Linked DNA regions of Nothobranchius furzeri. The protein of the gene in region 1 interacts with the protein of each later gene in a biochemical or structural test. Links are inferred from orthologs where the notes say so. Each region holds a gene or a part of one and is shown on either strand. Other genes may lie near its edges. The genes, in order: setd1a and wdr82.

Region 1 (3,822 bases):
AAAATCGGCTCACAAATATGATAAAGTTAGAAAAATCTCCCTCGGGAACTTCTCTTTAGTTGTGTTGCAGATTGTGTGGCTGAGCAGTAAAGGGATGTTTGGCACCAATAAACTAAAATACACATATTTTGGTGTTTGGCAAGTTCTGAAACAGAATAAAATACAACAGACCTTAATTGTACCTGGAGGCGCAATAGAAACAACATAAAAGCATCTGATGAGCTCGTAAACCTGTTTTCTAGTTACTTAAACAGAAACGGTCGCTTTAAACAGCTGTATTAACTGCTCATCTGTCCTTGACGTCGGAGGCACTAAGTAAAGAGAGCTTTGCAGAGTTGTTATGTATGTAAATCCCCAGAATAACTGTTTTACCTAATCTTTGTCTTGCAGACATCCTGGCTATAATCCAGGCCCTTTGGGCAGTGGCTATCCCCCCCAGGACATGTTACCATCATCATCTTCATCTTCTGCAGTCTCGTCTTCTGTCGGAGGATACAAAGTATCTCGTTACCCCGATGAACAGGATCCATCAGTGCACCATCGATGTCGCCCAGGGTACCCTCCATCCTATCGTCCCAACGAGCCACCATGCTACCCCCCCTACCCTAATCTTGGAGGACCAGGGCCCCAGATAGCACATCACTCCACAATGCCTCCCCCACCTTTTTCCAATCAGCATGACCATCTTCCAATGTCAGATCGAGACCGTGAAAGAGACTCAGGGGGGAGGTATGGACCAGGGGGCACTGGCTCCAGAAGGTCATCCTACCATCACCAGCAGGACACAAACTCTTCCTCAAAGTACCATTCCCATCACTCCCATCACCATTCAGACCGCAGAGATGATCGGGGTTACCGGCGCGACAGCCTCGGCTCCCGGTCAGGTGACCACAGCCACCAGAGACACCGCAACCACCACCACCACTCTCACAACCACCACGGAAGCAGCAGTCGCAGAAGAAACAGCCACGATCGGGACAGGGACCGAGACAGAGATAGGGACCGAGACAGCGACTACTCCAACAGCTCTGATCCCAGATACAATTCCAACTCTTATCGCTCCTCTTCGAACAGCATGTCTCCTCCTCCATCATCTTACTCTGCCTACGCCTCCTCTAAAGAGGCTGCTCCAACCCCTCCTCAGGGATCGGACGGGTCCACCCGCCCAGGGGCAACAGGCCTTGCAGAAAGGGGTTCTCTGCCTTCAGCAGGTGCTGACAAAGGCTACCACGCCGATCATCACGGTGCCCTGCCTCCTCCTCCCCCTCCACTTCCACCCGCCTCTGTTATTGCGGCAGCTGTCGCTGACACGCTAGGATCACTGGACTTCAACCAGGACAGTCCTGCTGGTGAAGAGCAGTGGACAAAGCCCAAACGTCATCCTAGCACTCCACCTGCTCCACCCAAGACTCCCCCACCCTCATCTCCTGTCCACCCTACTATCGCCTCCTCCTCTAACTCTCCCTCCTCGGCCTCCCTTCCTCATCACCTTTCCTCCTCCTCCAGCTCCCCACCGCCTCCTCACCGGGACTCCTCTTCCCCAGAACCCGACTCCACTAATGAGAGTTTACCGTTTGTTTACCACAGCAGCAGTCTTGACTCTCGCATTGAGATGCTCTTAAAAGAGCAAAAGGCGAAATTTTCTTTCCTCGCCTCTGATGAGGAAGAGGATGACGATAGGAAAGAAGACAAGCTTCGAGCCAAAGCTGGGGAGCGAGTCGATCGAAGAGGTGGGTCAGGTAAAGCAACAGGGGAACAGGAGCACATAAGAGACAGTGGAGAGAAAGAACACAGGAAGAAAGAGGAGCGAGATCAAGATGGCCACAAAGGAAAGAAACAGGGGAAGAGGGGAGAGGGGAGGAAGAGCCCAACTGTTCTCTCAGCAGATACACAACCCCCCTCCACTCATTCTCCCCTTATCCTACCTCCAGAAGAACCTCAACCCCAGGTTAGCCTTGCTGGGACCGGGACGTCACAACAAGAGTCCGATCAGCCGGGTTCTGCTGATGCAGAGAGCCGAACGGGAGCTCACACACCACCCTTTAATGGGCAGAGTCAGGTAGGACAGGGACTTTTAGAACGTTACAGTTTAAAACCACACTGAAACACAAAGTAACTTGCTGCAAACCATGTGGTCTAAAATCCACTTTAACTTCTATTCATTTACTAGAATAAAATGACATTTGTTTAGAAACAAAAACGGCTGCATCCTTTAGCCTCGTAATTCATCTCTCTGCTTTTATTTTTGCTCTTGGTACACCTTATGATGGAGATCATTTTAATCTAGAGCAAGTTTTAAAAGACTTGGCGAGATGATAATACTGCTGCAAAGTTTTCAGCTCTGTCCAGGTGCAGAGAGACTGACGATCTAAAAGTCTGTGGAGCCTGAAATGTGCAGCTAACTTGTTCGTTTTACTCCTGTATTGCGTAGTTGTTTTAATAACATCGCCCTCTTGTGGACAAGTCTAATACTTGCATGTGAATTTCAAACGTGTTCTTATGAAAGTCGCATTAGAAAATGTATTTAGTGTTCAGAGACGACGTGTCTAGTACACCGCTGCTAATGACAGCGTTACAGTCTTAAGTTTGATCTGTTTTCCTTGGATTTTGTGGTCGGTCTCCCTGGAGGTGAATTTCCTAAATGCGGTTATTGCTGTGGAATGTGCACAAACACACGGGTGGTTTTTTAACTGTAAACCATAATCTGGTTTTCTTTTTGTCAGGCCTCTCCTCATTCTTCTGGGGAGGACATGGAGATCTCAGACGAGGAGGAGGAGGAAACAACAACCACTATAACAACAACAGCAACCCATCAGCAATCAGCCGCTTCGGGATCTTCACCGTCCTCTTCTCAGGCTGCACCGTCACAAACAGCAGACCCCTCGTCCTCCCCACCACCCGACTCTTCGCAGCACTTTGGCACTTCTATGCACCTCCCAATACCTTCCTACCCACCTCATTTACCTCCCCCTCCCCCTCATGGTTACTCCCTTCAGCCTCCGCCTCCACCAGGGATTCCCCCCCTTCCCCACATGGAGCTGCACCCTGAGTATCCCCCTCCTATGCCTCACCACATGTATGACTACGCCAGCTCGATGGAACTGATGAACCAGTACAGTGGTGGAGCACCGATGTCCTTCCAAATGCAGACACACATGCTAAGTCGCTTACAGCAGATGCGTATGTCTTCATCCAACGGCACACCAGGTCCAGGTGAGGCCGCTACTGCAGACTACTCATCCTACCATATTCACTCAATGCCACCTCCTCACACGCATCACTCCTACATGGACCAGGAGGGGAGTGGGGCAGGTGCTCATTTTGACCAAGACCACAGGTACATGCCCCCTCATATGTCCTATCCCTACCACGATCCCCACAATACTCAGATACCACCCCCTCCCCACACTGGCTGGCCACCACACGTCTTACCTCCTCATTACCCCTCCTACATGCCCCCTCCTGGCTACGGCACTATGCTGACCGGAGATGGGAACGAGTTTAGCGTTCCCGGGGAGCAGATGCCCATGTTGGCTGAGAATCCACATGAGGCAACGGTGCAGATGGTCTTGGCCACGCTTATCCAGGAAATGAAGAACATCATGCAGAGGGACCTAAACCGTAAGATGGTGGAGAACGTAGCGTTTGCAACGTTTGATGAGTGGTGGGAGAGGAAGGAGACCAAAGCCAAGGTAAGGGCTCATCTGTTTACGATTGTTCTGATCTTTGGGTAGAAGTTACAAATGCACATTTAGCGACAAAAACTTCCAGTCTAATTTTCTGATCAGATGTATACTTCCATATTTTCCTCAAATTGTTCTC
Region 2 (4,415 bases), on another chromosome or scaffold:
TTTCTCTCAAAACTGCCGCTGTACACTTTGGTGCCTTCTGCCCTGGATGCACATGGGCAAGAGTGGCATTCAAGGTCAGCGTAGTGTCACCGGAAAACCCCAAACAATCATGGTGAGATAGCAATGGAGCTCAAGAATCTGGGAGCATTTTATAAAAATTCAAGAGAAACGTGCAAAATCTGCTAAGTAAACCCACCTTCCATGGCAGTACGAGGAAGATGAACATCATTAAAGAAAACACAATGAAGAAGAGGGATGGTTGCCTCTTTAGGCTAATTAGCTGCTTGTAATGATCGCTATAACGTTTCCTGACCCATAACACAGGTTTCATGTGTTTGCTGTAACATTACAAACACTAAGAATTTATTTAATTATCTATGTTAAGTTTAATAAGTGTTGTCACCAAGCCCACTGCCAGCATGTATTTGTTTTCTTGACCCATATCGATATCAAACTGGAACAGACTGAGTCAGATCAGATCGTAACAATCTATTCTAACTCTTGAGAATCGGAATTAAATAGATTCTTGAAATTTGTATCAATGCCCAGCTCTAGTCTTGTGTGTCTTTAACCTGCTGTGTTTTAATAAGTTCAAATAAAATACAGCTTAAAAAAAATAAACATCATCACGGTTGTTTAGTTTATCACATGACATTGATAATACATCGATTATAATTGTGCAGAAGATTTAAAGGGCTCCAGGTGTAATATTTGTCTGTATGCACCATTGTTTATTTTAGTTTCTGTTTCTCCACGCGTGCGTGTGTGTGTGTGTGTGAGCAGCATTTTTCCATCTGATTTTTTTCTTGTATTTTCTAAACCTGCGCTTTGCAATCAAAGAGCCACTACCTGCATGTTTTCTGTTTTCCTGCACTAACACACCTGGTTTGCATCAATGGGTGATTAACAGACTTCCAAAAACTTTGAGGACACGATGATGAGGAGATTCAACCATTGAATCGGGTGTGTTGGAGCAGCTAAAACACGCGGAGCAGACCTGAGAAGCCTTGATCCAGACTGTTAAAGGTTTCATTCATTCAAAATTTAAATCTGTTCTAGGATTTAAAGCACCTGTATAAAAAAAAAACAAAAAAAGACAAAAGCAATTCTTACTTTATCAAATGACCGCAGATCATAGAGTTTAACCATTTCTGAATTTATTCCTGCAGCAAAAATGAGACCCTCTGGATCAAAAGAGCACACCGGCTTTCCCTGCAGGTGCATCAGTCCCTAAAAGAGACAAATAATAGCAAAGGTCAAAATCAGTTTTTTCATTTGACGAGTGAATCAGCAAGGACAGCGCACCAAATGAAAAGCTGTTATCATAAATGTGAAACATTTTAGCTGGCACTTTTGACTGCTTGAAATTGGACCCTTACTTGGCAGTTAGGCGACCGCAGATCCCACAGTCGGATGGTTTTATCTAATGAGCCAGAAATAAATGTGTCATCCACAGGAGACATGGAGAGAGAAGTCACCCTGGTCACAACAAACACAACCACAGAACAAAACATGACGAGTAAAAACTTTAAACCTGAAACATTTTAAAGGAAAACAAAAACTTACAAAAATAAAACAGTAAACAGATACAGAAATAGTTACTCAGCCCTCACCTCTTGTTGTGTCCAGGAAAATAGCGGATGTATTTGTTGTCATGAAGAGACAGGTACCTGATGGTGTCTTGTAGGAAAAGAGACACATCATTAAACTCGTGTCAGTCAATAAACATGTAAGACCTGCAGCGGGAGTAAATGATTAAAACGAATCCACCAGCATCAACATGTGATGAGTACACTCAACCGTGGGCAAGGCAGTCACTTGTACAGTTAGCTCCTGTATGGGGCAGAATCACAGACCCTCAAACTGTACAAACAACTACCTCAGACTACAGTGAGCAGCATGATGAGCTGTGATGGAGAAGCTGGAGGTGGAGAAACATCCTGTAGAGTTCAGTCAATACAACAGATCATGATGCTGTGGCTAAAAAAAACAAACCCTTACAGACCAAGAAAAGTATTCATCCCCATTCACAGTTGAATGAATGTAATTATGGAAATGACATTAGTTTACATACCATCAATTTTGTTGGAACTGTAGACCACAGTGTTTGCAGCATGTGTGTACCTGATCAGATCTACTCCATACTTTTTACTATACAGAGTCCTCTTGGGCCTGTAATTAATCAGAACAAACAAAACGTGATCAGACTAACATCAAGAATTTTAATCAGAACAAATAAAACTAACCAACTGCTATTTTGTTAAAGTTCTATATTCTGCCGTTCTTGTTTTAAATCTGATTACATGCTAATCCAAATCTTCTACACATTTGGTTTTCTCTCATTTACCTTAAAAATAATGTATCCACATAATTGTATTGGAGCTAAATATGAAATAATGCTCGCACATGCTCATGTGAATACTCGTTTAGATTCAAAATTACTGATGATGCTGTAAAATAAGTTTTATAAAACTTAACAATTCAAATTTCTGCCCTCTTTACACCATCACTCAAGCTAACTATTACAAAAAATTTTAACATGTTGGGTTTTATTTACGGGTATATTTTACCAATCAGATAACCACATAATTATTACTCTAGCGTAATTCAAACGCGTATTTTTATTTGACCGCTGAGTCCTACGCAGTGCGACAGGCCTCGGTGTTAGCTTAGCATGAAGCTAATTCCAAAAAGTAAACTCAGCAGAAATCGCCCTTACTTTCCTTCCTGGCAGTCGTACAACACTATAGAGTCATCGTCGCTGCTGGAAATAATAGTTTCTCCGTTCGAACTGAAATCGAAGCAATTAATTTTGTCTGAGTTCTCACGAAATACTTTAGCAACCCTGAAGCTCCGTAGCACATTGTCCGTTAGCTTCATGGTTGTCTTGAGGGGAAATAGGCCCTCGTTCTCTTTGAACTTGATTTGGAAAGTAAACTTGAGGAAATTCGTGTGGATATGTGAGCAACAGTTACACTACAAGTCACAATTATCGAGAACTCAAATCAGAAACAACGACAAAATCCCGCCTGTAACACAGAAGGGAAGGGAAACGCAATGTCCGTCGCTCTATAACGGAAGTCACCTGACACGGGTGAAAAAACACGTGACGAGACAGCGTGTTATCGCGAGAATTACCACCAATACAAACAGCAGAAACACAGTGAAGAACAGCGTGAATAATCAAATCTTTCGCGTTTTTAGCTGATCTTACTTTGAAATTTCAGAGTGTTCCGATTTAAACACAAGACAGTTATTGTGTTTTTGACGTTTAATACGTATTTTTTATAATAGTAAGTGTGGAATTTTGATGTTCGAACATGAACGCAGAGGTAACGAAGAAAGTTCCAGCAGGAATTTTGACTCCATGGATAGAAACATTTCAGGTATTTGGCAACAAAACTGTCAACATTGACAGTTTTAGGCAAATTATTTCAATTTTAACTAAGATGCTTTAAAGTGCCAAAATATTGACTATGCACGTCTACACAATTAGACACTAGTTTAGTTTATCAGAAGAAAAAAAAGTTGATTTGGGGGTAACTTGCCTTTTAAACTTAATTTAATTTGATTCACACGTGTTCAAGTAAAATAATATGTCTCAACTGGATGAAGAGCACTTTAGCATGGTCTATGATCCGTTAAAGTTAATCATTAAACAGAGTTTAAACAACACCAATCATTGTCGGGCCAGATATTTGTTCCACTGCTGAGCTAGAACACACACGACGGGATTCCACTGGAATTTGCAGGCATTAAATGCCACCATTCACGACCCACACAGGTAGGCAGTCTTAAGGAATCTCAGAGAGCTCAATATTGGAGTGAAAGTTTGCAAAAGTAGAATGTTGATAACAAATATACAAGTTTTAGTTATTGGATTAGTATTTTTATGGTTGCTTTTCAAAAGCAAGATATTATGCACATGGATGAGGATAAAATTAGATGCAGAGGTTTTTCCACACCTCCTTTCTTTCGTTTTTGTACAACGAGGAATTGTTGGTGTACTAATTCCAAGTTTCTTTGAGGCATGTAATAAATTTCAAATGTCTTCACATGTTAAAGGTTTTTTATTGTCATTCTTTGTCCTGATTCATGAATTTCTCAGACCCATTGATCCATCAATGGCCCGCGTCCTTTCCCTGATCCGGCCTCAGCCTATTCTGGCCCTCGTGGGCCGGCCAAAACCTACATTCTGCAAAATGTCAATGGACTCACGGGCCCGGAAGGTCTTTGCAGCGGCAGTGGAAGCTGTGCAGCCAGACACTGTAATCAGGAAGAGCATAGAGCGCACGGAAGATTCAGTTCTTATTGACGGTCGCAGATTCACACTCAAACACAACCTGCACTTGGTGGGCTTTGGAAAAGCTGTTCTGGGAATGGCTGCGGAGGTAGAGAGGATCGTGGGTGATCAT

The links.
Region 2: the proteins of setd1a (region 1) and wdr82 form a complex in vitro, tested with the Homo sapiens proteins (2 studies listed by BioGRID). The link is inferred for Nothobranchius furzeri from reciprocal best matches to the Homo sapiens genes SETD1A and WDR82.

Annotation. Positions count from the first base shown.
Region 1 is NC_091745.1:9,179,893-9,183,714, reverse strand, and holds part of setd1a (histone-lysine N-methyltransferase SETD1A), read left to right. Parts: intron 1-390; coding exon 391-2,059; intron 2,060-2,723; coding exon 2,724-3,692; intron 3,693-3,822. UniProt on the Homo sapiens protein: Histone methyltransferase that catalyzes methyl group transfer from S-adenosyl-L-methionine to the epsilon-amino group of 'Lys-4' of histone H3 (H3K4) via a non-processive mechanism.
Region 2 is NC_091743.1:64,676,686-64,681,100, reverse strand, and holds the start of wdr82 (WD repeat-containing protein 82), read right to left. Parts: upstream 3,077-4,415; 5' UTR 2,881-3,076; coding exon 2,720-2,880; intron 2,173-2,719; coding exon 2,075-2,172; intron 1,681-2,074; coding exon 1,614-1,680; intron 1,480-1,613; coding exon 1,380-1,479; intron 1,231-1,379; coding exon 1,114-1,230; intron 1-1,113. Other genes in the region: glyctk (glycerate kinase), read left to right, coding at 4,125-4,415. UniProt on the Homo sapiens protein: Regulatory component of the SET1/COMPASS complex implicated in the tethering of this complex to transcriptional start sites of active genes.